3 linked regions of the Cricetulus griseus genome follow. The protein of the gene in region 2 purifies or fractionates together with the protein of the main gene of each other region. This does not show direct contact. Links are inferred from orthologs where the notes say so. Each region holds a gene or a part of one and is shown on either strand. Other genes may lie near its edges. The genes, in order: Ddx6, Mcrip2 and Atxn2.

Evidence for each region.
Region 1: the proteins of Mcrip2 (region 2) and Ddx6 purify together in Homo sapiens (co-immunoprecipitation; 5 studies listed by BioGRID and IntAct, with this or other methods). This does not show direct contact. The link is inferred for Cricetulus griseus from reciprocal best matches to the Homo sapiens genes MCRIP2 and DDX6.
Region 3: the proteins of Mcrip2 (region 2) and Atxn2 purify together in Homo sapiens (co-immunoprecipitation; 3 studies listed by BioGRID and IntAct, with this or other methods). This does not show direct contact. The link is inferred for Cricetulus griseus from reciprocal best matches to the Homo sapiens genes MCRIP2 and ATXN2.

Annotation. Positions count from the first base shown.
Region 1 is NC_048597.1:156,295,474-156,306,186, forward strand, and holds part of Ddx6 (probable ATP-dependent RNA helicase DDX6), read left to right. Parts: intron 1-29; 5' UTR 30-299; coding exon 300-499; intron 500-3,265; coding exon 3,266-3,329; intron 3,330-4,506; coding exon 4,507-4,611; intron 4,612-10,713.
Region 2 is NC_048600.1:45,483,135-45,493,007, reverse strand, and holds the end of Mcrip2 (MAPK regulated corepressor interacting protein 2), read left to right. Parts: 5' UTR 1-102; coding exon of another isoform or gene 103-154; intron 155-237; coding exon of another isoform or gene 238-283; coding exon 284-367; intron 368-3,081; coding exon 3,082-3,182; intron 3,183-4,099; coding exon 4,100-4,227; intron 4,228-4,467; coding exon 4,468-4,569; intron 4,570-4,814; coding exon 4,815-4,885; 3' UTR 4,886-5,156; downstream 5,157-9,873.
Region 3 is NC_048597.1:101,625,562-101,636,274, reverse strand, and holds part of Atxn2 (ataxin-2), read right to left. Parts: intron 10,328-10,713; coding exon 10,236-10,327; intron 9,456-10,235; coding exon 9,258-9,455; intron 8,141-9,257; coding exon 7,962-8,140; intron 6,167-7,961; coding exon 5,957-6,166; intron 3,510-5,956; coding exon 3,327-3,509; intron 1,865-3,326; coding exon 1,667-1,864; intron 1,157-1,666; coding exon 1,049-1,156; intron 711-1,048; coding exon 640-710; intron 1-639. UniProt on the Homo sapiens protein: Involved in EGFR trafficking, acting as negative regulator of endocytic EGFR internalization at the plasma membrane.

The sequences.
Region 1 (10,713 bases), on a different chromosome or scaffold from region 2:
TGCTAATTTAATTTTTTTCTTTGTTTCAGATTGAAGTGAGTGAATTCAGATATAATTAAAGCTTGTTAGAGGGCTTTAAAAAAAAAAGTTGATTTGGTGCATGAGAGCAAGTTAACTACTGCTGCTTACCGTTCAGAGACTTACAGGTGCTTGCCTGAATTGCAATAAAGGACTCACATACTGAGCAAGACTTATTTATCTCTTCATTTTGGAGAGCCTCATAAACTGTTATTACAGTTTCTCTACTGACTTTCAAAAGTTTTGAAGTTTGAAAGAGACACCTTTGCAGTTAACAAAGCATGAGCACGGCCAGAACAGAGAACCCTGTTATAATGGGTCTGTCCAGTCAGAATGGTCAGCTGAGGGGCCCTGTGAAGCCCAGTGGTGGCCCTGGAGGAGGGGGCACACAGACACAGCAACAGATGAACCAGTTGAAAAACACCAACACAATCAATAATGGCACTCAACAGCAAGCACAGAGCATGACGGCCACTATTAAGTAAGTTCTAGAAGAAAAATGTGGAGACCCACAGTTCTGTTTACTTTTGTTGTTGACCACTTTATGCCTTAAATTAACCATTTTGATTGCAGATGGAGGGCAGATGACTTTTGTTATAATCAGTAGGTATTTGTAATAGAATAATGAATGTATTTCTGCTGTAATTAACTCAAAGTGGTGAATATAGGCATTTATAAATTACTATGTTTAGAAATAAATGTGCTGTTTGTATAAAGGTGAATAAAATGGTCCCCATTCTGTTGGTTTTTGAGAAAGGCTTACTTTGTAGCCCACTGTGGTGATCTTCCTGTTTCAGTCTCCCAAGTATTAGGGTTACAGGTATGAGCCACTACACCCAACTTTTTTTTTTTTTTTTTTTGCTTCTAATGTCACCACTGCAACTTGCCCTAGTTTATACAACAGTTAAGGCTATTTGAAAGTTTGAGAAAGAAAATTTATTTAAAATAACAAAATTTTATGTGCATGGGCTTTTGCCTGCATATATGTCTGTATGCCACATGCATGCCTGGTGTCTGTGAAGGCCAGAAGAGTGGGTTGAATTTGCTGAAATTGGAGTTGCATATGGTGGTGAGCCTCCTGGTGGGTGCTGGGAATTGAACCTAGGCTAGTGCTCTTAATCAGCCCCCCGACAAAGCAAATTTAATGATTCATACTTTTTATTTTTTAAAGACAGGCTTACCAGGTCATGGTGACGCACGCCTTTAATCCCAGCACTCAGAGGCAGAAGCGGGTAGATCTCTGTGAGTTCAAGGCCAGCCTGGTCTACAGAGCGAGTTCCAGGACAGCCAAGGCTACACAGAGAAACCCTCTGTCTTGCAGGGGTGGAGGAAGAGAGGAAAGAAAGGAAGGAACTGTCACTCTAAAGATTGATTTATAAGGAATTAGCACTTAAAACTTTACCTCAGTGGAAATTGGGCTTCTGTTAAAAATACAAAAGAAGTCTTCCCTGGCTGCTAAAATGTATAGATTATTGGTAGTCAATTCACTGTTGATCTCTAAGAATACCCGATGTTTTGTTTTGATACAGGTCCACACTATGTAACCCTTTAGCTTGGAACTCTGTATATAGACTGTTCTCAAACTCAGGGATCTACCTGCCTGTGCCTCCCAATTGCTGGGATTAGCACAGTGGAATTGGTTTTAACTAGTATAAAAAACATTTTACAAATTATAGTTTATTTTAACACAAACAGGCAGGCAAAATTTAGGCTCCTTTCAGTTCCTAAGGGCAGATATATACTTCATTATGAAAGTATTACTCAAAATTTTTGATTTGAGATAACAGTTTTTCTTCTGGGATTTTCTGTGTCTTAGTGTGTCATTTCTTTGAAGTGTTCTGGATTTTGTCAGCTGTTTCAGAACTGACTCTTCAGTACTTATCTCTATCACCAATTTTCTCACTTTTAAGATATATTTGTAATTTGTGGGCCAGTTTTTGCATTATATCTTATATGTATTGTTGAATTTGACTGTGTGGCAAGCTATTATACTGGGTTGTTACCTGGTGTTTTTGCTTAGAAAGTTCAGTGATTAAAAAAAAAATTCAGTGGTTTCTGCAGAAGCAGAGGATCATGAGTTCAAGGGCAGCCTGGTCTATATAGCAAGCTTTCATTTAAATTTTAAAAAGAAAAAAAGACTCTGCTCTTTATGCAGGCTCTAGCTTTAGATAAATGAAGCTTGGGGTGAAAGGACTGGGATGTCCAGGAACAGATAATGCTAAGTACTAAGTTCTTACTTTGTTAGTACTGACTGTTTACGTAAATTACTGTTAGCTTTTTTTTTTTTTTTTTTTTGGAGGCAGCCCAGACTGTCCTTCAAGTAGCTATGTAACAGGGGTAACCTTGAACTCCTAAACGTACTACTTCCACCTCCAAAGTGCTGGAATCACCTGGTGAATGTCATCGTGCCATCATTATATATGTTATTGATTTAGACACCCAGTTTGTATATGATAGTATAGAGGGTTGGGGAAGTAATTGGTGCGGCATCATGGAAGGAATAAGGAATAGAATCGAGACTTAACCCCTGTTAGAAACGTCAGGACTTGTGTGGTTTTGTATGGTGTGTTGAGTCACGGTCTTTCTGTTGTTCAGACTAGCCTGCAACTACCAGGCTCAGGTGGTCTTTCTGCCTCATTCTCCTGGGTAGCAGGGACTGCAGACACTCTTGGTTTTAACAAGAATCAGCTAGTTACCAGAAGTACAGGCTTGGATGACTATAGGGTACTGTGCTGATTTAGAAAGTACTTACTGTTTAAAAGCATCACCTGTTGATATTAAGTTCTGGTTACTAAGTAGCCCACTGGTAACTCCTTGGCTTTTCCAAGGACCTGGGTTCAATTCTTATCATTAAAAAAGAAAAAATAAAAAGTTGCAGTTACTGTTACGGTACAAGAACTTGAAACATTATTGCCAAAGTGTCTCTGAACTGTTGTGGATTTGGCATTTTTTCAAGAAAATCTAGAAACTGAGCCTTTACATGAAATCTAGATGTTAAATGTTTGTAGCTAATTAAAAAGACTAGTAGATCAGATAAGATGTGTTTGACAAACACTTGTACTAAGTTCATCCTCCTTAGATGATTTCTCAAAGAACATGTTTCCTGAAGTTAACACTTTTGTTAATTAAGTGCAGGGAATGTTAAACTTAAGTGCTTTTTAGAGAGGTAGTACTATTTGAAAGGTTTCATTTGTATTAACAGGGAAGCTATGAATTGTGACAACTATGTTTACTATATTCTCTCTAGACCTGGTGATGACTGGAAAAAGACTTTAAAACTCCCTCCAAAGGATCTAAGAATCAAAACTTCGGTAAGTTGGGTTGTAGAATTCAAAAATGGAAGGAAGGGGCAATTACAAGTAAAGTAATTGAATGAAATGACACCATGTGTTTAGTCCTTTTGTTATTTTTTGTTCTATTTTGAGAATAATGTCCTATATAGTCCAGGCTTACTATCAGTGTTCTCCTTCCTTAGTCTTATTAGTGCTGGGAGTATAGTTAGGTATGTCCCATCAGGCTAGCAACTAGATTTTATTTTTGAGCATCTTTAGTTTTTCAGATAGGGTTTCATTCACTATTTAGTAGAGGCAACATATATATTTAATCTTAAAGCAATTTGAAATGATTGAAACTGTATGGTTAATAGGTATTAGATTGCTTTAAAAATTCATATATATATATACATATATATATGTATATATATATATATTAAGAAATATGCTGGCTTGTGGGTGCCCATGCATGTGTGTTTGCATGCATATCTTTTTGTTTGTTTGTTTGGTTTTTGTTTTGTTGAGACAAGACTTCTGTGATTGCAGGCTGGCCTCAAACTTAGATCCACCTGCCTCTGCCTCCAGAGCTCTGGCATTAAAGGTGGACGCTACCCTACCACCCCACCCCCAGCTGCTATCTTTACCTAATTTTCTCAGTTTTTTTCCCCCTCAGCCTCTCAGTGCTATATTCAGGTTAGGTATTGTATCCACTATGTATGAATGTGTTCAGAGAAGTTCTTTATCCCAATATTCTCAACCAAGGGTGATTTTTGTGACACTTCTTGTAACAATAGCTAGAAGTATTTTTTGTTGCCAACTTGGGATCCTTATAAATAGCCTCAAAACACCAATGTCAGCCTGGCCACAAATGTCAAAGCTCTATGCTTGAGAAACCCAAAGACATAGCCAAAGATATTGGTAGCTAGTGAGTAGGGGAACTGGGGTTTTATTTCATATCTGTAGTTAATTGTATGTTATTTATGTAGAAATATTCTGCCTTAGACTGATCATAGGTGCTTTCCCCAAAGCTCCATCTTTAAGTGATGTATATTTGTTGAGTTACTCTCCAGGGAAAGTTGAAATAGAAATTAAAACAGTAGTAATATGCATTTTTAAGCTGAAGTGGATAAAGGGTTCAGGTCTGTTACTTTTTTTTAAAGCATGCTAACTATGAAAGAACCAGGGTTCCATTTTATTTTATTGTTTGTTTCATTAGGATGTGACTTCCACAAAAGGAAATGAATTTGAAGATTACTGTTTGAAACGGGAGTTGCTAATGGGAATTTTTGAAATGGGCTGGGAAAAGCCGTCTCCTATTCAGGTATGTTTACCCTTTTGGCTACATGAAGGTTATGTATCATGCATTATACACTTCAGCAAACATTAAAATACTCATTTTATAACTGGGCAGTGAACTCAGAAGGCAGAGGCAGGCAGATAGATCTCTCTGAGTTCCAGTTCTTGGTCTAGAGTGACAGGACTACAGAGACCCTGTCTTGACAAGAAAAAAAATTACATGGATGGGTGTTTTGTCTGCATATTTGTCTAGTACCTCTAGAAGCAAGAAGGGAGGGCCTCAGACCCCCTAGAACTAGAGTTAACGATGGTTGTGAGTGAAGCTACCTGAGATAACCTGTGAAGATGGTTCGATACTCTCTCGACCCAGAAAACCCTACAAAATCATGCAAGTCAAGAGGTTCAAATCTCCGGGTTCACTTTAAGAATACCTGTGAAACTGCCCAGGCCATCAAGGGTATGCATATCCGAAAAGCCACCAAATACCTGAAAGATATCACATTGAAGAAGCAATGTGTGCCATCCCAGCAATACAATGGTGGAATCAGCAGGCGCCCAGGCCTGGGGCTGGACACAGGGTCGGTGGCCGAAAAAGAGTGCTGAATTTTTGCTGCACATGCTTAAAAATGCAGAGAGTAATGCTGAGCTTAAGGGTCTAGACTTAGATTCTCTGGTCATTGAACACATCAGGTGAACAAAGCACCTAAGATGCGTCGACGAATTTACAGAGCTCACGGCGGATTAGCCCATTCATGAGCTCCCCCTGCCACATCGAATGATCCTCACGGAAAAGGAACAGATTGTTCCAAAGCCAGAAGAGGAGGTTGCACAGAAGAGAAAGATATCCCAGAAGAAATTGAAGAAACAAAACTTACGGCACGGGAATAAATTCAGCATAAAATAAATGCAGATAAAAGTTAAAAAAAAAAAAAAAAAAGATGGTTGTGAGCCACCATGCTGGGAATTGAAATGCGTTCCCTGGAAGCATAACCGGTATTCCTAACTGTTGAGATATGTCTTTAGTCCCTACTTGATTTTTTTGACGTGTGGGAATAGTGTAATGTGTGTTTGTATACAGTATTTTTCTGTACTTTTAGTGTTTTTTTTTTTTTTATACAGGGCAGCTTCTAGTCCATAGTAGCCTCAAATTAAAAGTTAGCTGAAGCTGGCCTTTGAGCTCTTGTTACCTCAGCCTCTCAAGTCTAGGATTACAGGCAAGCATCACCATTCAGTTTTGTTTTGTTTTTTTCCTTTTTGGTTTTTCGAGACAGGGTTTCTCTGTGGGTTTGGAGACTGTCCTAGCTCTTGTAGACCAAGCTGGTCTCGAACTCACAGAGATCCTCCTGCCTCTGCCTCCCGAGTGCTTGGATTAAAGGCATGCGCCACCAATGCCCGGCTCATTCTCAGTTTTTTCTTGAACTTTATATATCTTTTTTTATGTGCATTGCTGTTTTGCCTGCATGTGTGTCTTTGAGGGATTGGATCCTAGAGTCACAAGCAGCTATGACCTGTCATGTGGGTTGCTGGGAATTGAACCCAATTCCTCTGGAAAAGTAGTCAGGACTCTTAACAGCCATCTCTCCAGTCCCTTTCTTGAACCTTTTGGGGTTGTTTGTTTGTTTGTTTGAGACAGGGTTTCTCTGTGGCTTTGGAGGCTGTCCTGGAACTAGCTTTTGTAGACCAGGCTGGTCTGGAACTCACAGAGATCCACCTGCCTCTGCCTCCCGAGTGCTGGGGACTAAAAGCATTCACTGCCGCCGCCGCCTCCTGGCCATCTTGAACTTTTACAGGTTAAATTATAGAATCACTTCATTAACTTGTGAGTCTCTTGGTGTATATTTCCTAAGAATAGGGATTGTGTGTGTTGTGAGCTTTTTTGTTGTTGTTGCTTGGTGGTTTCAATGTTTATTTTTATATTTTATGTTTTTTGTTTTGTTTTGTTTTTGGATTTTCAAGACAGGGTTTCTCTGGCTTTGGAGGCTGACCTGGAACTAGCTCTTGTAGACCAGTCTGGTCTCGAACTCACAGAGATCCACCTGCCTCTTCCTCCTGAGTGCTGGGATTAAAGGCGTGTGCCACCAACGCCCAGTGTGTTTTTGTTTTTTGGTTGTTGTTTTTTTCCCCTTCTCTCTGTGTAATAGCCTTGCCTGTCCTGGAACTCTATCTCTCTGTAAACCAGGCTGGGATTAAAGGCATGGACCACCAAGCCCAGCTGATTTATTTAATCTTATTTTATGTGTACAGGTGTTTCGCCTGCATATATGTCTGTGTATCCCGTGCAGTGCGTTGGGGGAGGGGGGTAGACAAGGAAAAGTGTTGGATCCCCTGGAACTGGAGTTAAAAGTGGTTGTGAATGGCTATGTGGATTCTGGGGATAAAACCTGAGCTCTCTGGAAGAGCAGCAAGTGTTTATTTTAATAACACCTGAGCCTTCTGTTCATTGCCTTTGTTTTAATGGTGTGTGTGTGTGTGTGTGTGTGTGTGTGTGTGTGTGTGTGTGTGTGTGTACACTCACCCGTGTTTGTTCATGGTCATGTTTATATTTGTGTGTAGGTTAGAGAACAACCTACTTCTCTTTTTCTACTAAGTAGGTTCTGGGGATCAGATTCAGGTTGTTGTACTTAGCATCAAATACCTTTATCTACCAAACCATCTTACTGGCTCTGTTGTTTTTTAAGATAGGGTCTCATGTATCCTAGGCTGGCCTCAAGCCCTGTGTAGCCAAGGGTGACCTTAAACTTCTAATCCTTCTGTACAAGAGTGTTAGGGTTATAGACTTGTAAATTTTTGCTCAGTTTATATACTGCTGGGGATCAAAGGCAGGGTTTTGTGCATGCTGGGGGAGCATTCTACTAATTGAGATACATCTCCAGTCTCTTACATTTATTTGTCTAAAATAAATGGAAGGCTGGCTCATTGTTTAAATAAATGGAAGGCTCAAGTCATGCTTGTTCAGCAAAAATACTGCAAAACTCATGTAACAGGTTTCTCAGGATATCAGATTTGAAGGTGTGTATAGTCTTGATTAGTGATGTCATGAATTTGGATTGTCTTGTCCAAGTGTTGTCTGATTTTTTAGCTCTATAATGGATGATGATAACTACTTTTTGCTCCCTCCCTTAAAACCAGTTAATATTCTAGAAAATATTTAAAGACCAAACAAATCCATTCTCTCTATCAAACTTTCCTGGTTATTGTAGTTTTTTAATTATCATCCTGAATCTTGATCTCATTGGTCTGGGTTGTAGTGAGTTTCTTGTAAGTTTCAGCTCAATTGATCCTTCCATATTTGGCCCCTATAAAGAACTTCCCCTTATGTGTGCCTTTAAAAGAGTATTTGGGGTTTGTGATGTTAAGACTTGAACTCAGGACCTTGGTCATGCCGCCAAACACTCTACCACTAAGATGTACCCCAGCCTTTCTCCTTCCTGCTTCATGTATATTTGTGTGAACTCAAGATTTTTTTTTTTAAATCATATTTTTGTGTGCTCAGGTGTCACAAATTTGACTCCTTTTAGGGTGGTTCATATATGTATTTTGTGATAAACTTCATTTTTATTGAGCAGTTCCTTTTGGTGTAACGTGTTAACTAGAATTATGTATCTTATGCTTATTATTATGCTCTGACCTTGGAATCTATGGAGTACTGATTCTTACTTGGTTTTTCAAGACAGGATTTCTTTGTAGCCCTGGCTGTCCTGGAACTCTCTTAAGACCAGGGTGGCCTTGAACTCAGATCCTCTTGCTTTTGTGTAGGCCATCACAGCTGGCTGAGAACAGATAGTTTTAATAATACATGATGGGTACCTTTTTAGTTGGAATTAGTTGCATTTTATATATCCAGGAAGATAGGACAGCCTAGAAGTAATCTTCTAAGACAGTGGTTTTTAACCTGTAGGCCATGACCCCTTTTTTGTGAGGGGAAGGGGGGGGGTCGAACAGCCTTTTCACAGGGTTGCCTAAAATCATTGGAAAACACAGAGGTTTGCATTATGATTCATAACAGCAAAATTACAGTTATGAAGTAGCAACAAAATAATGTTACAGTTGGGAACTGCCATAACCTGAGAAACTGTATTACAGGGTGGCAGCATTAGGAGAACAGTGGTTGAGAACCAGTTGTAAGTGATCACCCAAAGGTGAGAACGTGGGTGTTACTTGTTTGTGTTTTGACACAGGGTCTCCCTTGTGTATTCCTGGCTGTCCTGGAACTCACTGTGTACACTAGGCTGGCCTTGCCTCTGCTCCTGGGCGCTGGTGTAGACCACCACACCTGGCTTGGGGTTTTGGATTTGTGTGAGAGAGAGACAGAGAGATGACAGAGATTGATTTTATTTATTCATAGACAAAAAGAGGCCTTGTTTACTTCTGGCTGACTTTGAACTCCCTATGCAGCTGAGAATGACCTCAAACTTTATACCCAATATATGCAGTACTAAGGATCAAACCTAGCACTATGCAAAGCATAAAATGGTGATTCTTAGAATCATTCAGAGCCGGTCGTTGGTGGTGCATGCCTTTAACCCCAGCACCGGGGAAGCAGAGGCAGGTGTATCTATGTGAGTTCGAGGCCAACTTGGTCTACAGAGCATGTGCCAGTGTGAGGATAAGCTCCAAAGCTACACAGAGAAACCCTGTGGGGGACCGAATATCTCTGTTATGGAATATTTTAGATCCCAGTCTCTTGCTGCTGTCAACAGTGGTGGCGCCAGGGAGCTCTGGGTCATTGTATTGTTAATTGCCATTCGACTACTACTGTTTATCATAGCCTCAGGGTAATATGCCTCTTATTTGTATCTGTCTGTGCCTAAGCATCTGAATAGGCCCTCACCTGGGCGGAGGAGCTAGAGGTATGAGTAACTTAGGAGGAGAGAAGGTTGGGAGTTAAGAGGCGAGCGGCCAGAGCAGCCTCGTAGTATTAGCAGGATGGTTAAGAAACACCAGAAAAGATGGCTAATAAAGAAATGACTCTAGTTCCACAACATGGAACTGAGAGCTCTCTGAAGATGACAAGATGCCTGTGTTTGGTCTTTACTACCATCACCAAGAATTGTTTCTTAGCCTTTATCAATGAGTATGAGTAGGAATTCTACCTTTTACAGTAGCATGGTATATTATGCTAAATGATGGCTCTTACGATTTTTCAAAAATTCATTTATTATTGTGAATGTGGTCATATGGCTGCCATGATACACATGTGGGGGTCAGAGGAAAGCCTTTAGGAGTTGGCTCTCTTTCCATGTAGGCTCAATTTCTAAGAGAGAGAGAGAGAGAGAGAGAGAGAGAGAGAGAGAGAGAGAGAGAGAGAGAGAGAAAGAGAGAGTGTGTGTGTGTGTGTGTGTGTGTGTGTGTGTGTGTTGTGTGTTGTGTGTTGTGTGTTTGCAAGCACTCGGGCATGTATACATACATGTGCATACTTTCCAAAATACACATGGAAATCAGAGGACATGTTTAGGTATGGAACTCATGTCAGCAGGGCTGTACGTACAAAAGATAAAAATCTACAGAACCATTCAGTAATTGTATTCTCAGAAATACTACACTAGTGATCTGTCATCATTTAAGACATGATTTAATTTTTATTTTAGTAATGATTAATGAAAACTTTCTGAGCTTTGAAAGGGGTTCTTCCTTTTATCTTGTAGAAAAATTTGAAGAAAATAACATTTAAAAATGTCATAGATGGGCCATGGTGATGCATGCCTTTAATCCCAGCACTCAGGAGGTAGAGGCAGGCGGATCTCTGTGAGTTTGAAGCCAGCCTGATCTACAGAGTTAGAATCCAGGACAGCGAGGGCTGTTACACAGAGAAACCCTGTCTTGGCGTGGTGGGGTTATTCAAGACAGGGTTTCTCTGTGTAACTCTAGCTGTCCTGGAACTCTCTCTGTTGTTGCCTTTAGAAAATGATAGAGGTGTTTTTGTTTTTATGAATTCTAAAAACCTTGTTTTTATGGGACAGAAGAGAGATGGTTAATGATTAAGAGCACTTTCTGCTTGCAGTAGCCCTCAGTTGTGTTTCTAGCTCCTGCCTCAATGACTTATAACTGCTGTAACTCCACCTCCAGGGACTCTGACACTCTCTTCTGCAGGGACATACAGAACATACACTTACACATACATACACAT
Region 2 (9,873 bases):
TGTCCTCCGTCCTTAAAGGGGCCGTGCCCCAGGGACCGCAGAGTGAAGCTGGTGGAGGGTGCCTGATCTAACCGCTGCCAGGGGCAGGCGGTACGGCGCACCATGTACACCATCACCAAGGGGCCCAGCAAGCTGGTCGCGCAGCGCCGCACAGGTGCGCAGGGCGGGCGGGCAGGCAGGCGGGACGTCCTGACCGCTGGCCCGCGGCGGCTGACGCGCCCTCCGCCCGGCCCGCAGGTCCCACACAGCAGCAGGTAGAGAGCAGACTCGGCGAGCTCCTGAAATGCCGGCAGCCCGCGCCGCCGACCGCGCTTCCCGCGCGCGAGCAGCCCTCGGCACAGTCTCAGGGACCCTGGCCACTGGCAAGGTGAGCGGGGCCGCCCGGCACGAGAGTGACCTTGGAGAAGGTGATGAGGACCACGCGTCCTGGCGGGCAGGGGGCGGGGCGCAGGCGGCTCGCGCGCTTCGGCTCGCTGGCTACTACTGGGCCCAGCTGGCGTGCGTGGACCCTGGTGGCCACGTGGGGCCTTGCGGGCTTCCGACCGCACCTGCCTGTCAAGGACCTCAGGTACCCAAGACCGAGGGACCTGGCGACCGTGGGCCGCTAACTTGAACCCATTGAGAAGCGGTCGAGGTCAAAGTTGGGGAAAGTTGCCCAAGGCGCTGGCCCTCAAGGTCTTCAGGCCCTGTCCTTGCAGAAAAAGCGCACGTGTTCCCCGCTGGCCTTATCAGGTCCCTGCCCTTCACTGACACCCTGGGGCACTGGAGCCCTCCTCCCCAGCCAGTGTCAGGGCCTGTCAGACCCAACAGTTTCCTCACTTTCAGAACTAGCAGTGTGTCCAAGGCCCCAGGGAAGCTCAGGCCAGACTACTTTGGATTTCAGCTACTGTGACCTGGAAATGGTCCCACCCCTTCAAGGCTGAACCTTATACTTCTTTGGCTCAATTTACTGTTTCCTGTGACAATAGACTTTGCTCCTGATCGCTGCAGGCATGTAGGCTTTTGGGCTCAAGATGCTGGTATAGGTGGCATGTGACCAGCTAAGGGCCCTAGGCTCTCAGTTGGGGCACAAGTTGAGGCTAATCTGTAAGGAGGCCAAGAGTTAGACTAGCCTCAGCTGGAGAGTCGGTGTGGTGAAGTCTACCCCATCTCTCAGCTACTGGGCTTCAGATGCCATAGGTAGGAGACACCTGTGTGGGACTGTGTTTGACATTCTGGCAGAATTGAGGGCTTCCTGCTACAGAGGCATGTTGGCAACTCTGCTACATTCTGGATGAGCAGTTCCTAGGGGGCTTCCTGATGATATCAGTTTATGTCCCCGTTGCCCTTATGTCTCTGGGAGGACTCTATGGTGCAGGTGTGTAACCACAAAGTGGTCAACCAGACAGGGAGTCTGGAGCTGGAATAGCCTTTTAAGTCCTCATTGTTGGGGGACAGCAAGGACAGGTTTGTGGCAATATTGAGGGTGATATCCATGAGGAGGACAGTCTCCAGAACTCCATAAGTTGCAAGGGACACCACACTGGCTATTTACTCTAAATAGGAAGTTAGACTGATGTGGAGGCCTCGAGTCACCCATCAGTGGCCAGTTAAAGCACCTGAAGCGTGAGGGACAGTGATTTCAAGTACTTCTAGGCTCTGGGAGCTGAGGAGACAGGGCAAGGTGTCCCCCCTACTTCCTCGAGGTTTCTGGGGAGTTGCTCCTTCCTTGACCCCATACTGGTAACTTCCAGCTCCTATAGGGATTCCACAAATACATCTACATCTAATCTTTTATCTTCTCAAGGCCACCCTTCAAAATCTGTGTTTACTACCTTCCCGTTCTTGTTTTCCCTGGAGCTTTCCTCAGCTACCATCTCTCTGACAAGCTCTAGGAGAAGGGAACATGGGAGGCGCTGGTTATCCTCCTGCTGGCATGTGGCAAAATCTCAAATCTTTCAACTCACTAAATAGTTGGGTATAGGCGCTGCCCGAGATGATGGTCAGATGTGACATCCTTTGTCCTGGCAAGAGACAGATGGGAGAGACTCGAGATGAGATCATATGACTGATTACCTGCCCCCCAGAAGTAGATGGAGCAATGAATGAATGTTCAGGGACCACTAGGCAGAAGAGAAGTGGGCCAGAGTCAAAGTTGTGAGCATTGGAGTCAAAATACTGCTAAATCTTAGATTGACCACCTTTGTTGCATGACACAGGCAAGAAGTTTCTCTTCCCAGTATGAAAAATGGGTGACCAGTCACCTTGAGGGAGTACATGAGAGGAGGTCTGTGGGGCACTATGGCCTGGCACTGCAGTCACTGTTCCCAGGAGTGGGTACAGGTGCACTCTGGGACTTGTGCCCTTTCCCCTACAGAGCCTTGTCTTACATAACCATTGCCTCCAAGCAGGGGTGGGGCCGGGCTTAGCTTTGGGTTTGTAGCCCTTGCCCTCTGGGTCAGGGCCACCACCTTGATCTAGTCACAGCCCCTGGCTGGGATTTCCTTCTTTTAAGAATCAGAGTAAGCCCCAGGTAGGCGTGGTAGTACACACCCACCTGCATCCTGGTACTTAGGACAATTTCTGCGTGTCTACACCTTGCTTCAACAAAACAAAAACATTCATGCAAAAAGAATCACTGTCCAGCCCTCAAGCTTTCATCATTTGAAACCTTTTGAGGTATAGAGGTGGTTGTAAGCAAAGGGGGATTTCCATTAAGAATGCCTTCATGCCAAAAAAAAAAAAAAAAAAAAAAAGTGTAAGCTGGGTGTTGGTGGCCCACGCCTTTAATCCCAGCACTGAGGAGGCAGAGGCAGGCAGATCTCTGTGAGTTCGAGACCAGCCTGGTCTACAAGAGCTAGACAGGACAGCCTCCAAAGCCACAGAGAAACCCTGTCTCGAAAAACCAAAAAAAAAAAAAAAAAAAGAATGCCTTCATGCCCTCTGGTTCACCAAAACCTCAGGTACCCAATGGGTCTGGGAGGAGTCCTGCCTCCTTGTGGTTCCCACCTGCACATTTAAGATTTTCTGTAGCCACCAGACCCTGCCAGCCCTGGGACTGGCAGGACCCTGTGCCCCTCAAGACCCTCCTCTTTATTTTAGTGCCCCTCTCACCTGAGGAGGAACCCAGAGCGGCGTGGGCCACCTGAGCCCAGGAAGGCGAGCAGGCCTACCGGGACCGCGAGTGCCTGGCGGAGTGGCAGGTGCAGCCCAGGACTCTGGCTCCCACCTCCTACTGTAGGTGCGGCCCTATTCCCTCCATGGCTCCACCCCAGGCTTCATGAGCACAGGGCTTGGCCAGTTGCCACCAGCCAGTAAACTGGAATGGCACATTCCTGCCCTGACCTGGGCCTGCTTAGCTGGGAGGGGTTCAGCCACCCCTCACCCCTGAATATTGAATGCAGCACAGAGCCATGGGAGGGCATCTCATTCAAGTTGCCCCTTTTTTCTTGCCTTGAGGAGTGGGTCCTCCCCAGCATTCTGTGCTCATCTCCCTGGGGGCAGCCAGGGAGAGGGAAGGGCAAATCCTGATCCATCCTTATTTGGTTTGTTTTCCAACAGTGGGGGTGTCATTGAGGTGACTGGGTCTGTGGGGCATCTCTAGATGGAAGGGGTATCTGTGCCCGGTGGGTGGGGATGGACTAGAGTTCTGATCAGGCAGAGGTTAAAACCGGGCTCCTGGAAGCCTGCCTGGATGGGAGTGCAGAGGAGCACTCTGTGGGTGAGGAGTTAGGAGTGCAGAGGAGCATTCTGGGTGAGGAGTTAAGAGTGCACAGGAGCACTCTGTAGGTGGGGAGTTAGGAATGCAGAGGTGGAGTATTCCGGTTCCCTGCCAAAGGTCTGGTTAGAGAGCTGGGACTCTTTCTGACTTGCAGTCACTCAACCTTCCCTGGCCCCAGGGGCTACAGGTGTGAGCTGAACTGCAGAAAGCTCAGGGTCTGCAGCAGAGAGGCCTTGTCCCACAGCAGCTGAGGGCACTGCTCTGTGACTAAGGAAGGATCTAGTTTGGGTCTGTGCCTGTGCAGGTGCACTGAGTAAATACTGAGGCTGCTCTTGAACTCTTCAGAATAGCTCCTGGACCTGGCTGTGCCAACTGTATCTCTCTCCTACCCTCTCACAGTTCAGGGCCAAGGCTTGTGTTCAATCGAGTGAATGGCAGGCGGCCCCTCACCACACCCACATCCCTCGAGGGAACCCAAGAGACCTACACACTGGCCCACGAGGAGAACGTCCGATTTGTGTCCGAAGGTAGTAAGGGACCAGGGGGTGTGACCCTGGCCGCAGAATCCCAGTAGTGTGGACCTGGCTCTGCCCTGTCCTTCCGCACTATAGCCTGACTCTTAGCAGCCCAAGGGCTAGACTGTTCTTTGGCTTTCTGCCTGGTCATGTCCATTCCTTGAACTGGGCTGGAGTCCAAGGTGACCACCAGATTCTGGGGTGGGAGGGATATCAGGGGCCTGGTTCATTCTAACTGTCCTTCCCTCACAGCCTGGCAGCAGGTAGAGCGACAACTGGATGGCGGCCCTGCCGATGAGAGTGCCCCACGGCCTGTGCAGTATGTGGAGAACACTCCTGATCCCCGGCTGCAGAGTGAGTCTTTCCTCATGCCCTACATCCCTAAAGAGTCCTCTCCACAAGGTTCTAGCCCTAGGGGATTAGGGAGGGAAGTTTTGGGCCAGACTGTCCGTCCGTGTCGTGTGTCCCCCCCCCCCCCCCCGCCTTTTCCATTGAGTACTATACTAGGAGTCCAGGTTAGGACTGTGGTCAGCTGGAGGGCAGAGGTGCTGTCCAGTTTGGAAAACAGCATCACTGCCCATCATCTATTCTACCCACAGACTTTGTACCTATTGACCTGGATGAGTGGTGGGCACAACAGTTCCTGGCTAGAATCACCAACTGTTCCTAACACCTGACCAGGAAGGAATGCTGCCATAGTGGACCCTTTGTCCGAAGAGGACCATGGTGCGCCGGTCCACCTTGTGGCCTGGCTGGGTACCGGCCACACCTGAAGTGCCAACATTTGGACTTTTGCACCTGTTGTTCCCTTGGCTTGGCTATCCCAAGCTGCCAGAGCCAGAGGCCAAACCTGTCTAACCTCAATCCTGCTCACTGTGCCCAGGGACCAGCCCCTGGGGCTGGCAGGGAGGAGCCCAGGCTAATAAAGTTGAAAAACTGCCTTAGAGTGTCAGTGCCTGGGGAAACGGGGGGGGGGGGGGGGGGTGTTGGGTCCACCTATCCACCTCTGTTTCTCAGTCTCAGACTCTAGACTCCCCCAGCCCTTTGCAATACTCAGAATTTGTCTTGACCCGGCTTGTCTCAGCTTTAACCCATGACAGCCATGAGGTTCTACCTGAGTGGGGGGGTGTGGACCTGGAAGCTCCTAGCAACCCAAAGGCGATAAAGATCAAACACAGGCATCTTGTCATCTTCAGAGAGCTCTCTTTATTAGCCATCTTTTCTGCTGTTTCTTAACCATCCTGCCAATACCACGAGGAAAACCATTTTCCTCTTTGTTCTCTCTCTGCTCTGGCTGCTTGCCTCTCCTCCTTCCTAACTTTCTGTCCTCACAAGTTATTCACACACCTCTGGCTCCTCTGTCCAGGTGAGGGCCTACTCAGATGCTTAGGCGCATAAAGATGCAAATTAGGAGGCATATTACCCTGAGGCCATGGTAAACAGTATTAGCTTTACTGGCATTAACAATACAATAGTGTGCCGGAACTTTCTGGTGCTCCATGTTTAGTGAAACCAAAGCCGGATCTCAAAATAAAATCCGTAGCGGAAAGACTTTGGTCCCCCACAATTCCTCTCTCTTAAATTAATAAAAAGAAACCTGTGCTTCTGCATCAGGACAGATGACTGTGCCTGTTTTAGGAGCTCCCTTCAACCTACACCAGGGGTGCCCGTCATGGAATCACGCATTCCATCATGCGTGTTCTGTCTTAGGATTCCCTGAAGGCAAGGAAAACCCTACCGTCTTTGGCTGAAACCAGTCTCTGTAAAACAAATAAGGTTAGTGGAGGATGGGCCATAGTCCTGCTCCAAGTGTTCTGAATCAGCAAGAAACCTACAGGAGAAAAGCATCTCAGCTTGGCAGCAAATCTTCTGCGGATGAAGACATGTAAAAGTTAAAATGGCCTTTTTAAAATCTGTGGCAATGCCTCTAGTGCCTCTGATACGGACCTTATTAAAGTTTGCTCCCTAAAACATATTTCTATCCTAAGGCTTGTAAACTGTACGTTACATTCCTGTAAGAATGAGCTCTGACTTCTAGTTTCTAATAACAATTACATAACACATATAGCAAGATTACAAACATTAACAATTCCATCATGAACATACATTAGGGTGAGTTACAAAGCAATCAAAAGACAATAAGATATTCTCACAATCTGTGAGGTGTGAACAATTTCACAATTGTAAACCCTCTTTTATTCCCTACCTGGGACTCAATGCCCCTAGAAACTTATCTATTTTTTGCTCAAAGTCCGAAGTTCTAACATCAGGTTTGTAAAAACAGTCTTTGAAAGTTAACTAAAAAGTCTTTTGTCCATTTCTTGTTTAAGCATTGTGAAGGAGCTTCTGCCACTTTGGTTTATGCCAGTATCCGACTGTCCTAAATGGGTCCTTTTTCCCAATGAGAAAACTGGCAAAACAGTTTTGTGTGTCTGTTTGTGGCAAGAAAGCAAGCTGTTTTTTTATCAAGTTCTTAGTCTGCTCCTGGATGAGCACTCACGGATTCGGAGAGGTGAATGTAGCCCGTCTGTAGGGAGGCTGGAACTCTGGAAAGCATCTCGAAACTGGAACTGGGTGTGTCTCCTTTCTTCCTCCGCTGTAGGTCAGATGTCCTCAAGGTTCAGGAACACAGGTCCAGTGTTTCACTCCAGCTGTTTCAGATGGTCCCCTGTGGGCCCAGGTCCCATTTTTCTCAGTTCCATGCATCTCACCAATCTTTCTGGTAGCCAGTGCACCTCGTTCTCCTCCTGCAAGAAAACACAGACATGCCCTCGACCCCCAAATAATTACGGGGTCTGGTCCCCTCTATTTTTCTCTCCATTTGACCTGAGCAAAATTTGCTCGAGTTCCTTCATGCCAGAATCTGTCTGCATCAGATTGCTCATTGGCATCCATATTTAAAAAGTTTAAGATAAACAGTGTGTGATTTAACGCATCATGTGGAGACTGGGGGCACAGCTCCCCCCTTTTTGTCTTAGAAGCTGTGCTTTAGGGCACTATGGGCCCGCTCTCTTATTCCTTGTTCTTGGGGATATAAGGAATACATGTTTTTTGATCAATTTTCCATTAATCACAAAATTGCTGGAAAGCTTTGCTAGTATATCCAGACCCATTATCTGTTTTTATAACTTTTGGCACTCCCATGTAAGCAAAACATCTTAAACAGTGACTTATAACATGCCTGGTGGCTTCTCCTGTTTGTGGAGTGGCACATTTTTAACTTGCCAAACTCTGTAATGTGATTCACATCCATTCGCCATAAATGGTTGGGGAACAGGCCTTGAAGATTCACCCTTAAATTAGCCATAGCCATATTGTGGACATATTCCACATTGTTTGATGATTTGACCAGCAGTCTCTCTGGTTAAGCCAAATTTCTTTCTTAGACTTGCTATTATGATGAAGAAAGTTACAAGCCTGTCGAGCTTTTTATATTTAAGGCAAATCAACCAATTTTGTTAATTAGTTAATTCATTCCCTTTGGCTAGTAATCAGGGAAAGGCCTATTTAATAGGTTCCCAGTGTGACCCATAAACATGATAATTCTCTTAGGTGAATAACATTTTGAATTTGCTCAAATCAATCTAATATTGGATCCTATGTATGGAATTGTCTCTATTACCTCAAGATCCTTAAAGACATAGTGACTGTCAGTATACAAATTAAATGAATTATTTACCAGGATCTGAAAGACCATTGCAACAGCTTGTAGTTTGATTATTTGAGCTGAAGCCAGAGCTGTCTGCTCTATCCATTCCTTTTAATTAATAATCTATGTAAGTGACTCTCCCAATAGAACCATTGGTAAAAATTAACATAGCATATTTTTATAGGACTGTTTTTTTGCAATTTTGGAAATACAAAAGGATGTATTGGTGCAAATTGTAACAGTCCATGAGCTAGAAACTGATTATTGATTCCTCCTGAAAACTGAGCAAAGACAATCGCCAATCGCCCATGACTCATTGTTCTGAAACAACCAATTAAACTGTTGCTTAGTGTAGGAGACATGTATCATACTTGGTTCTCTCCTAAAATACTTCTTAGAATCTATATGGCATTTCTGTACCATGTGGGCTAATGCTTTAAAATAAGGGTTTAAAATATTTAGGCGCAACCATAGTAATGGTTCCTTCTGCCATAGCACTGAAGTCGGACTATGCTTTGTGGGGAGTACATAAGCTTCCCATGGTTTTGTATAGTCAATATATCTTGATGATGCTGAATCATCTCCTCTAATTATAGAACTTGTCTACCTTCTTAGCTGTCTGGGTACATCTGGATCATTATCTCCTTATAGAATCTTACTTAAAGGATTTAAATCATCATTAGATGTTCCAAAAAAGATACTTAACCAATGAATATTTTATAACAATTTCTTAAAAACTCATTTAAAGATTTTAAACTATCTTTTCCAATTGCTATCTATTAAGCCTTAATTTCTTTAGAATACAACATGTCTTTAATAATTCTCCAGATTTATTTAAAGTTTCTGAGTAGCCTTTTCTAATCTAACCTTCGAAGCTGACAAGCTGATAAGACCTCATTAGCATCTTAGCTGACCTGGCTTAATTTGCATATGCAAATACACAATCAAGCTGAGAACCTAACAGGTTGGCTCTCTCCTGAGGCTTTTCACAAACCCTTATTAAAATCATGTATCAACTTTTATTTTCTAGATTTCCTTTTTTAACCATAAAAATTTAGCAAGACCTGTATCCTCTCATCTGTCAAATTTTACAGAATCATCCATAGATTCCTCATGTCTCTAAGCTAACGCTATAGGCTTTTGCTAACCTTTTAATTGACTATTTCCTAGGGCTCAAATCATAATTTTTCCTGTTAAGACATTGACTGACTTACTGGATGCTTTTTTTGACCATATTAAAGTGATTCTGATTGTTAGACCCCCGAAAACCCAAGTTTCCGGGGTCTCAGGCCAGGTTCGCGGTCACCCCAATCACCAGGCGGATTCGAGAGCTTGCTGCAAACTGCACGAGGCTTTATTGTAATTTAACGAGCTAACCCTATGTTAGCTCGGGTCTTTCACCCACCTGCCATGGCGGACGGCTAGAAAAGACGGCTCCTTGGGTCTCCCAAAAGATCTTATAGGGCAGCGTAAGGGGAGTGTCTAGGGGTACGCACAGGCTCACGATTGGTGTGCCTCCAGGCTTGGAGGGCTTGCCCTGTGTTGATTGGTCAACTGGTTGTTATGGCTCATAGGCCCTCCCAGGGTGGTTGCTATGCTCTCTACGTCATTGCTGTGCGCTTGTCTGTAAAGCACACCCAGGGTCGTAAAGCATAGCGCCACCAGCTAACTTCCGATTGGCTCCTTGTCACAAGACAGGCATCTGACTTTCTAGTGTCTAGGTCAAGGTCATAGAAGCACATGTTCGACCATTATGGCTGCCAAAAGGGAAGCCAGTTCCTTCATGATATTTTTAAAACTATATCCGAGGCAATGTAAATATCTCTCTAATCATATTCAAGGCAATTTAGACATTTCCATTCATCCGCATTCATAAATTCATAATCCATCACATATCCAGGTGTGGCCACACCGTTCATTCATAACTTGCATATGTCTCACATTTCTCCTTTTGCCTAGGTTATGATAAGTTTGTTGAAAAGAAAAATCCCTAATTGAAATTTCTAACA
Region 3 (10,713 bases), on a different chromosome or scaffold from region 2:
CAAATTCAATTTCTAACATCAGGCATTTCACCATCACCTTTACCCCAGTTCCAAGTGAGGACAATCTCTTCTGGCCTTAGAGGGCCCCTGAACTTACATGCATATACCCACTTACAGACGGACAGACAAACAGACAGTCTCTCTCTCTCTCTCTCTCTCTCTCTCTCTCTCTCTCTCTCTCTCTCTCTCTCTCTCTCTCTCTCTCTCTCAAAATAAATCCAGTGGGCTGGAAAAAATATATTAACAAGAGCACTGGCATTTTTTCCAGAGGACCTGGGTTCAGTTCCTAACACCTACATGGTGACTCATGACCACCTGTACCTCCATTTCCAGGCAATCCATTGCCTCTTCTGGTCTCCAAGGACACTAGGCATGCCCATGGCCCACAGACTCATATACATAAAAAACTTAAAAAAAAGTTTGACTTTCCACACATGTGACTTAATGCCGTGTGTGTGTGTGTGTGTGTGTGTGTGTGTGTGTGTGTGTGTGTGTGTGTGTGTGTGTGTGTGTCTGTCTGTCTGTCTGTCTGTCTGTCTGTCTGTGTTTAAAATGTATTTTTGTGAACTGGTTATATTTAAAAAAAAAATCACCATTTTCTTTTTGAAATTCTAACCAATCAGTTAATAGAGAACTTACCCTAAAATCATTCTTAAACTTCTTTAAATCATCAATCTGTTTTCTATGTTCAGAAACAACTGGTGACATACCTGTAAAACCAAAACCTGTTAGATTCCAAATTACTTCTGACCTTAAACTTAAAACTCTGTTAGTATGAGATATAAGAAATGAGAACAGAGGCCAGGAGTGGTGGCACACTCCTTTAATGGCTTTACTATTAAGTGGGGGAAGGGAGATAAATAAGAAATGAGAACAGACCTATCACCCGAAGACTAACAACTTCAAATATCCATTCTGCGTGGTATTTATTATCACATGCATTGCACATAAATAGATTTCAGAAGGAGGGCACTCAGTATGGAGCATGAAATTAGTTAAACACTGTTCTACTTCTTAATTATGTCTAAAAACTTTAACAAACTCTAACCTTTGTTGTCAGCTTTTGAAAAGCTAGGTGATGTTTCACTTGCTTTAATATTTTCCTTATTCCCTGCAGGAGAGTTCTGCCTCTGATCTTGAAGCCTGGAATCTTTAGCTAGAAGGAAAATATCAGACAAAGTTAGGAAAACAACATGAGAAAACACCAAACATGGGGGATGAAGAGATGGCTCAGTGGTTAAGAGCACTGCTTGTTCTTCCAAAGGTCCTGAGTTCAATTCCCAGCACCCACATGGTGGCTCACAACCATCTGTAATGAGATCTGGTGCCCTCCTCTGGCCTGCAGGCAACATGCAGACAGAACACTGTGCACATAATAAATCATAATAAATAAATAAATCTTTAAAATAAAAACAAACAAACAAAAAAAAAATCAAACACTTCTAATATTCTAGTTTGAGGAGAAAAAAGATCCACTAAATAGAGTTTCTTCCCTGCGTGTCACACCAGAGCAGGTCAGAACCTCTGTCTGATACCACATTAAATAATATACATGGAAGAGAAATATTATACACAGCTAACTTGCTTCCATAAAAACACCACTGTATATTCTGAATATAGCTCTTGGTCTTACAGTGTTACAATAGGAAAGATCTTCATTTCATACCCTCAATAGATGGGGTCAGAGCTCTGTTGGATGCAGGGCTGGCAGGAGTAGGAGATGCAGCTGGGACAGGCATGGAAACTGCTTCAGTAGGGATGATGCCAGCTTGTGGAGAAGCAAGCACAGGCCCACTGGGACTGTTTCCAATACTGTTCTGCCTGGGAGACCTGGGTCTATGAGTTTTTGGAGATAACCTTGGAACTAGAAGCAAAAAGATGCTCATTAAGTTCTCAGAAATATGACAGAAATTACCAATATGTTTTCACTCCTAATTAAATGTGTTAACTTTGAAGTATTCTGATTAAAGCTCAACAGCAAAGTTTAATGCCAAGATAAATTACTAAGGGGAATAAAAAAAAAAAAAGACATCAATAATACTAAGTTACTTTTTAAGGTGTGAGAGAGACTACACCTGTCTATTTCCTTCAACACAGTAAGTAAAACCCCTTTGGTAGCTTGCTGCTCAGCCTATGTACTTTTTCTTGCAACATGAAGATCCAGTTCCAATGCTGAAGTAAATTAGGACATAATTAGCCTAAAGCTGTCTCTTAACACAGAATGAATGAATGAATGAATGAATGAATGAATGAATGAATGCTTCAAAAAAAAGTTTAATGTTTCATTGTCCAATAAAAACCTATTTGCACAGTTCAGACTCAAGGGCATAATGAAAATGGTTCAATTTCCATCACTTTAGTGATTTTTCTTTGTGAAGTCACAAGCATCATAGAAGGAAAGCGTTCACTACTCTAACTTGCCTGTAACATGATTCTCAGTGTTATCTCTAGCAACTGTCACTCTTCTTTTACTTCCAACTAATGTCAAAGGAGTACAACACTTCAAGATTCTTCTCTCACCTTCTACTTTCTTTCTAATCTTCAGCTAAGGTCAAGGGAAACAGCAAAGGAATTTACAGGGCAGCTACTACGATTGCACTATTCAAGGGTATAGGAAAAAAAAAAAGACATTTAACAGTACTGGGCTTTTGTTTAAGCTTAAAGACCTCTTTCTAGCAAAGGTCTACTGGCTAATTAAGAAAAGTAATGGCCAGGCGTTGGTGGTGTATGCCTTTAATCCCAGCACTTAGGAGACAGAGGCAGGCATCGGATCTCTGAGTTCAAAGCCAACCTGGTCTACAAACTAGTTCCAGGATAGCCTCCAAAGCTACACAAAGAAACCCTGTCTCAAAAAAAAAAAAAAAAGTAATGATGAACAGCAAAGCGGGAACAGGTTCTAGTTCTGCAGTCCTGGGAGGAAACACTGCAGACTGACCGATACAACAGTGCAGCAGTCTGGGCCTAATTCAATCTGCTCAAAGTAGGACCCTTGATCTTTACAGCTACTGACAGCTTCTTCTCAGGCTACTCATGTAGACTTGGAAGATCACAAGATGAGTATCTGTTTATTCATTCCACACATAGATGCCATGGAAAAACATTTCGGTAAGTCTAAACATGTTTACAAACTGAATGCAGGGACAGAGTTGCCAGAATAATGGGACAGTACCTTCAACTACTGTCAAGAGTATCTGAGATATTTTATAACTGGCAACTCCTACTTAGGCCACCATATTTAACGAAAGTTCTTCCTCAGATCTTCAGCTGAGCCCTATTATGTTTGTACTATAATGACAAAATCAGCACTGTCACGGTGTCATACCTACCCCCACTAACCACTGAGGACCACGTTCCCCCTGCAGGGCTGGTCCTTGCCACTGGAGGAGCAGCTGCTTCACTTGGGGGGTTGTGGGATACAAATTCTAGGCCACTAGACATGGAGCCTCTCCCAGCAGAGACTCTGTGATTCCGAGGGTGCCGCTGTGCCTTTGGAGACATCCTTGGAGGGCCTAAGGAAGACACAAGGGACGTTGTTTAAGTCCTGCAGTGTTCACCTTGCTTTTTTTTTTTTTTTTTTTTTTTTTTTTTTTTTTTTTACTAAATACAGATATATACTCTTACTTCCCTAATAGCTTTTCATTGGTTGAAGAAAAAAATTAAAAAACCACACTATTCTGATTTTGGCCACATTAAGAATTATCTTGTGGGATGTCAATTATCTAAGTATATTTTATTTCCCCCTTTTAAGGTTTATTTTTACTTTTGACTATATTGTCTATGTGTTTGTGTGAGGGTGTGCTGGGAACTGAACTCAGGTCCTCTGGAAAAGCAGAAGCTTTCATACAGCTGACCGACCTTCCTAGCCTTATTTCCCTTTATTTTTGAGGCATGGGAAATATAAGAGTTGATTGATTGGCGATAAATCAAACAACACACCATAACACTGTATAAACTACAGAATAAGTTATAATAATGTTTTAATAGGAATTACAGCTACACTATAAGTCATTCTTACTTTACCTTTCTACCCAATTTTACTACTTCCAAAATGAGACAAAAAAAAAAAATGTTTTTTGCAGTGCTAGGGACCCCATACTTGCTAGGCCAACATTCTATCTTTGAGCTATATCCTTTAGGGCCTGGGGGGTGGGGAGGAGTATTTTTTAAACAGAAACCTCAATTCTCTTTGGCCACAATCATCAAGTTACAAATCATGGCTTATGGCAGTCCTCACATATAAATGCTGCCACGTAAGACCAGAAGGACATCTGGCAGAAATTTGCACTGTTAACACTACATCACTGATTGTGCCAGCCATTAGGGATGGTTGTGTCTACAGCCATCAGCTATGTAGTACTAAGCCACTGACTAAAAACACAAGCCCAGAACTACCTTTCTCAGAGTCTAAGGTATAGCTCCTAACACATGCTCTCTCCTTGTGTTCTCAGTGGGAACATAGTCAGACATGATCTCTGAGAAAATGGTTCTTAATGTCAGGACTTTATTTTTTTAATTTATTAAATATTTTATGTTTATGGTATGGGGGGTGTGTGCTTGTATATGCCATAGCATGTGTGAGAAGTCAACTTTGTGGAGTCAGTTCCAGATACCAAACTCAGGTCATCAGGCTTTCGTGGCAAGGACTTTTAGCCAGAGCCAGCCTACTGTTAGGGCTTTCACCTAGAGGTACCAACACCCCAGAACAATGTAGAGCATTTTTTGTGGACAGTCCAGGAGCAGCCCTCTTATCTGACTGCAATTCGATGCTCACAGTTCACTTATGCTCACAGCTCTTTATCTAAGGTATTCTCATAGAATAAACACATTTACCCCAATGGTCTACAACAGAGATCCATGTTGTTGCTAGGGACCACTACAAGAGGCAAGCATTAAATGTCAGTGAAATTTGCCTTTGCAACATTTCAATATTCAGCTATGAAAATCCCTTCTGCCTGGGTGAAAATTTAAAAGTAGCCAATATAGTTTACTCCCAAGCAGCTTCTTCAGGAAATTTTATCAGTCTTGATCAGTTATATTTATCATGACTTTACCAAGACAATCTGATTAGAACATTAACAGAAATATTTTGAATTCAAAGGACACTGTCATTTAAAACAAAACATTTTTTTTAACTTATAAATTGCATTAAATCAGAATGCTACCTTTTTGGAACAGGATATTGGGGTGACTGGGACAGGGTCTCACCATATCATCCTGGCTGGCTTAGAATTCATGAAAAGCCAAACTGATCTCACTTTTGGCAATCCTCTTGCCTATGTCCCAGGCATGTACCACCATTCAAAGTGTATGACATGCAACAATAGTGAATTTAGCACCAAAAACAAACAATTTTGACAAGAGCAAAAAGACAAAAAAATTTATACATGTTTTTTAATTGATAAATTTTAGATAAAGCCTCCCCATTAAAGTAGCCTATCACTATAACCATCGTGCAAAACTAATTTAAAAGTAATTATCCAATTAAATTTACAGTTCCTCAGGTACTCTAAAAACTATTTTTACCTGAGGGTAGACATACAAAGCCACTATAAGGAATATCATGGAATACAAAAGACCCCAAAATAGTACTCTGCCTTTGGCCAACAGGAAGGTTCACTGGCACCATGGCAGGGCTGTATCCACCCAAGCACTGAAGCGGTTAAGTGGGTCACAGCCCTGGTGGGGTCATCACTGTTACTGGGCTGAAAGCAGCGCCATTATAGACAGGTCAGATCTCATCTTTACATCCAGGACAGTGCAGAGCTTTATACACAGCACTTAACAAGTTTCACTCTAGTGAACAAAAGGTTAATAGAAATAGTTTTAATAAACTCAAGTTAAAACACAGAAATTATAGGTTATTAAATAATGAAGAGGAAACTACTTCGTAACCATAAACTCACAAAGGAGTTAAACAAAGACAAACAAAAAACATGAACAAATCGTGGTATTGTACCTTCTGAAGACATGCGTTTAGGCACAGTAGAGACAGGAGCTGGAGAACCATGAGCAGAGGGGTGAGACGGGGGTCTGGATGGCCTCGAGGGGGGCCTGGAGGGCGGCCGTGTAGGGGTGGCTGCCCGAGGTGGAAGAGAGTTGGGACCTGACTGGTAGCGAGAAGGTGGGCGAGAGGAAGGAGATGGGCAAGGCGATGGCCAGGGAACACCTGACAGAACAAATGATATGAAGGAAAGTATAAAAACTAAAGAAAAAAATGAGGGAAAAAGTAAACAGAAAAAAAAAGTAAAATGACAAAAATGATTTCTTGTACATTTTAACCCTTTGAGGACAGTCATTTGATTTGTGATAAGTTTTAGCATAACTTAACTGACACAGATTCACATTTTACTTTAACCTCCTTAAAATTAAGTCTGTTTAAATGAATCCACGTTCCCAAAGGGTTAATTAGGATCTACACATACTACTGAAGAAGACAGTTAAGACTCTGCCTAGTAGCCCTACTTCTTCAGCTGCTTTCAGCCATCACTTGTAAAGATAAAGTCACACACATAGATAACTTCCCTCAGTAAACCAGTCACTTCTGCTCAGGAAGGGCATCTCCTTCACTGGTTTTAGCTCTGAACAATAAAAAAGAAATAGCAGCTTCTGAAGCCATTATAAAAACTGTTTCCTTACATTCACCTGAGATGTTCATCAGGTCTGCATTTGAACCTAACCATCAGTTTCAAAGCTCACTAACCAAGTCCCATTTAGGTAGAAATAAGAACTTATTTCTATTGTTTTGTAGAATGCTGGAGTAACAGCACTGGGTGCTTTGTAAAACAAATCTCATTTCAACCCACTAGAAAGTGCCCCACTTATTTACACCCCGCTGTACCAATGTGAAGACCTGCAAACTGCAGGGCACAGGCCCTGACAACACGCCAGGCATTATGACCGTTTCCCTGATGCTCAGCCAATAGTCCAGGGTTCCTTTCCAAGGGGCTCCACATGCTAGAGTATCACATATTTTTCAGCCCCCTTCAAGTTTTTAACTTGAAAATTCTGTTCACAAACAAATGAAAATCTTTACTTGGTGAACAAAGAAATTTCCACCACCATTACTAGGTAGAGAAAATACTCAAATGTTTACTTAGAGAGGAATTCTGGAGAAGACTCAGCAAAAACAAATGAAACTAGAATGTTAGTGTTCCCTGTTTTTACATCTGAAATTCCTCTCCTCCCTTCCTTCAAGATAAGGTTTCCTAATACCCAGACTGGTCTCAAATTCCCAATGTAGCCTAGATTGGGAATCCCCCCGCCTCAGGTGTGAACCTCCTCATCTAGCTTGCACTGTTCTAACCTTCAACACCTGAAATTGGCTGTCGATTCTTTTCCCTCAGTAACAACACACTATTGCTGTCAATTACAATATTGCCATATAATTCATTTCTGCTGTTCAGTCTACCAGATTTCTATTAACATCTATAATCTGTATTCACCTGACAGAAGACACTACAGAAGTGCCTTCCTACTAGAGATCCAAGCAGCCACATTCTAACACCTGCCCTCAGAAACCAAAGGTTCTGTGCTGTATTTTTAGCATGATTTTATTCACATGACTCTTGCTCATAAATAACCCTAAGATCTTCCCTGACATGAACAGAATGGAAATCTATCAGTTAATAAAAACGAATCTGCATTTACTGAGGTGCCTTCCACATGAACTATGCCTAAATAACCACATTTTTTTAAAAACTGAGAATCTCTTCAAGAGTTTCCAATTTGTGTGTGAGGTGTTTTTAGGCCAAATGAGTAGGAGAGATATGCAACAGCTCAGGACCATGGTGTCCCTCTAAATGTGCCAAGGACACATATGATGTCATACTATCTGATAGCCACAAAACAAGACTCAGTTATATTAAAAACTACTCTACAAGATTAAAAAAAAATGGCATGCACATTCCTATCCAGTATGTTAACTCTTAAATATTTAGATATAATCTGGTCAAAATACTTGCCTCCATTAACTACTCTTTGGTCTGAACCAGAGTTCGGGTTGAAGTCTGAGGTGTGAGAAGCAGCTCTTGATGGCATGGAGCCTGGTCCAGGCTGGCCCATCCGTGGTGAGCTCTGTCTCCCACTTCCCCAGGATATGACCTCTCTGTTTCTTTGTCCAGGAGGAATATATTTACTTTCCCTAGAAATAAGAGAACCTCTAAATTATTTATGCTAGCTAAAAAGTACAGGGCTAACAGAACACCAGGTAGAAGAGTTTTTCTCACATAAGGCTCAGTTGCCACCACACTGTCTCATGGCATTGTAACTCTTCCCACCAGCAGTTTAACAAGCTGTGCTCACTCTCATCCTCCCTGACACTCCATGATGATTAGATAAATCACAAAAGTCAGCTGTGAAACCCTGAAGACAGGATGCAGCTTGTGCTTTACCCACAATGTAGCAGATGTTCAACAACATGTTTATGAATAAATGAGAGTCCTACAAGCCCAGCAAATGCACTCAACCCTGAGTCATCAATCATTTCTCCCCACAAGTTCACTTCACACTGTTTTTAGCTCACATGCTCTCAGAAGAAGCATCAGTAAAAGCTGAATTTCCAAGTAAGGCTCAAGCCTTCCTTGTTTCCAGCCTTCCCACAGCGAGTCTGTCTAGCAGCTAACTGCTTTCTCTCAGCTGCACAGTGTTACACAGAGAAAACTCTCTGACTCAGAGCATGTTTGTTCCTCACTGTTCCCTACAAGCCACTCTTCAAATATGGCACACAAGTGCTTCTGCCATCTGCCACAATGACATACAAATACTGACCCTGGGTCTTAGCCTTCGCCTGAAGAGGCCAGACTCTGACAGGGTTATGTGTCTACAGAGATGAAAAAAATTTCCCTCACTGCCAGTGGCAAACAGGTCCCATTATCCTGTTACAAACGTTACCACCTGGTAAGGCTCTTGAACTACACATGCAATTCTAGGGCATTCTCACTCTAGACATCCCCAGTACTCTGAACACACTTTCACCCTGAAAAAGAGTACAATGTCACCAGGTCACTGAGTCCCTCTGAATCTTGTTTTAAGGAGCTCCTTGGGGTCTGGGCTGGGTATTAGTGTCTTCAACACTAGACTCCAGCTGAATTCCAAAAGATCCTATCAAGATGACCACAATCTTTTCTCTAATAGAATCTTAACCAAACCCATCAGCATTGTCTACCTAAGCTTCATTTAAGAGGAAACAGATGCAGGACATTTTCTCATACAACCCTTCAATGTGTCCAACACACTGCACTGTGGTTCCCTTTATATACCTAGAGCTCGTGCCATGGCCCTCACGATCACTGCAGTTTCTCTGGACCGCTGTGTATTTTTCTTCCTCGCTCCTGTCGTCATTCTCAAGGGCCACACGAGCTTTGTACTGAGCACTGGATTCAATTTCCTCTGCTAACTGGTTTGCCCTTGCCTCCCGTTTTAGAAATTCTTCTGAGTTATCTCTTTCTAAGGGAACGCTAAACACAAAGAGAAGAAGACAGAAGTGATTGCTTCAATGTCACACTCATGTTATGCGTCACACACAACTATTAAGAAAGTTTAGTGCATGGGGTCATCAGAGACTTGTTATAATAAATTAAAATATGCATTTTTTGTTACATAGAACATTTACTATTTCAAGAAATGGTTCATGCAAACCCTATCCCTATAAATTTAACCTTTTTACAATTTAAAAACAAAGACAAGGGCCAGGCGGTGGTGGCGCACACCTTTAATCCCAGCACTCTTGAGGCAGGCGGATCTCTGTGAGTTCGAGACCAGCCTGGTCTACAAGAGCAAGTTCCAGGACAGCCTCCAAAGCCACAGAGAAATTTGTCTCAAAAAAAAAAAAAAAAAAAAAAAAAAAAAAAAAAAAAAAAAGACAAAATGTATTTTGTCCAGAAAACAAGGTATGGGGGAAAAAAAACTGTATCTATTCCCTGTTTTAATATGAGTTTGTCAGCCTAAATAGTTAACAAAAATAAATGTCACATCTTTTGGTTTGTTTATTTATTATCTATTTATTTAGGTTTTTTGGGACAGGGTTTCTCTGTGTAACCCTGACCAACCTGGAACTCACTCTGTAGACCAGGCTGGCCTCAAACTCAAGAGTGCTGGGTTAAAGGTGTATGCCACCAGTGTCAGTTTTCTTCTTGTTGTTTCGATGTGTAATTTAAAATGAAACAGACATTAATTCAACAACATAATTTAAGCTGATGTAGACAAAAATTAGCTAAAAGAGAACTTTGTGAACTTACGTATACGAAGATAAACTGCTATCATATGTGGACACTACACCGTAATTCTCTTCATTATATCGAAACATATCGTTGGGATCCCATCCATTAGACTAGAAAGAAAATAAAGGTCATTTTTTAAAATCCCAGTTTTTAATTCAGCTGCAACCAATTTTTGCAATAACATCTAACAAACTGCACTGGCAGGACCTAACTCCACACCTTCCTGTCACAAATGCAAATTTGCTTTTAGAAACATTTTAAAGAAGGCTAGACATAACTCATACCTGTCATACCTAAGGAGACTGAGACAGGAGGATGTTTTGGTTCAAGGCCAGCCTGGGCTACACAGTAAAAAAAAAAAAAAAAAAAAAAAAAAAAAAAAAAAAGCCCCATTTCAAAAAACAAAAAGAAAACAAAACAACAGCTCTTTAGGAAAAACTCTTCTCAAAAGTATCATCCTCTTAGATAAGTAGGTGGTTACATGAGTTATCTGAGA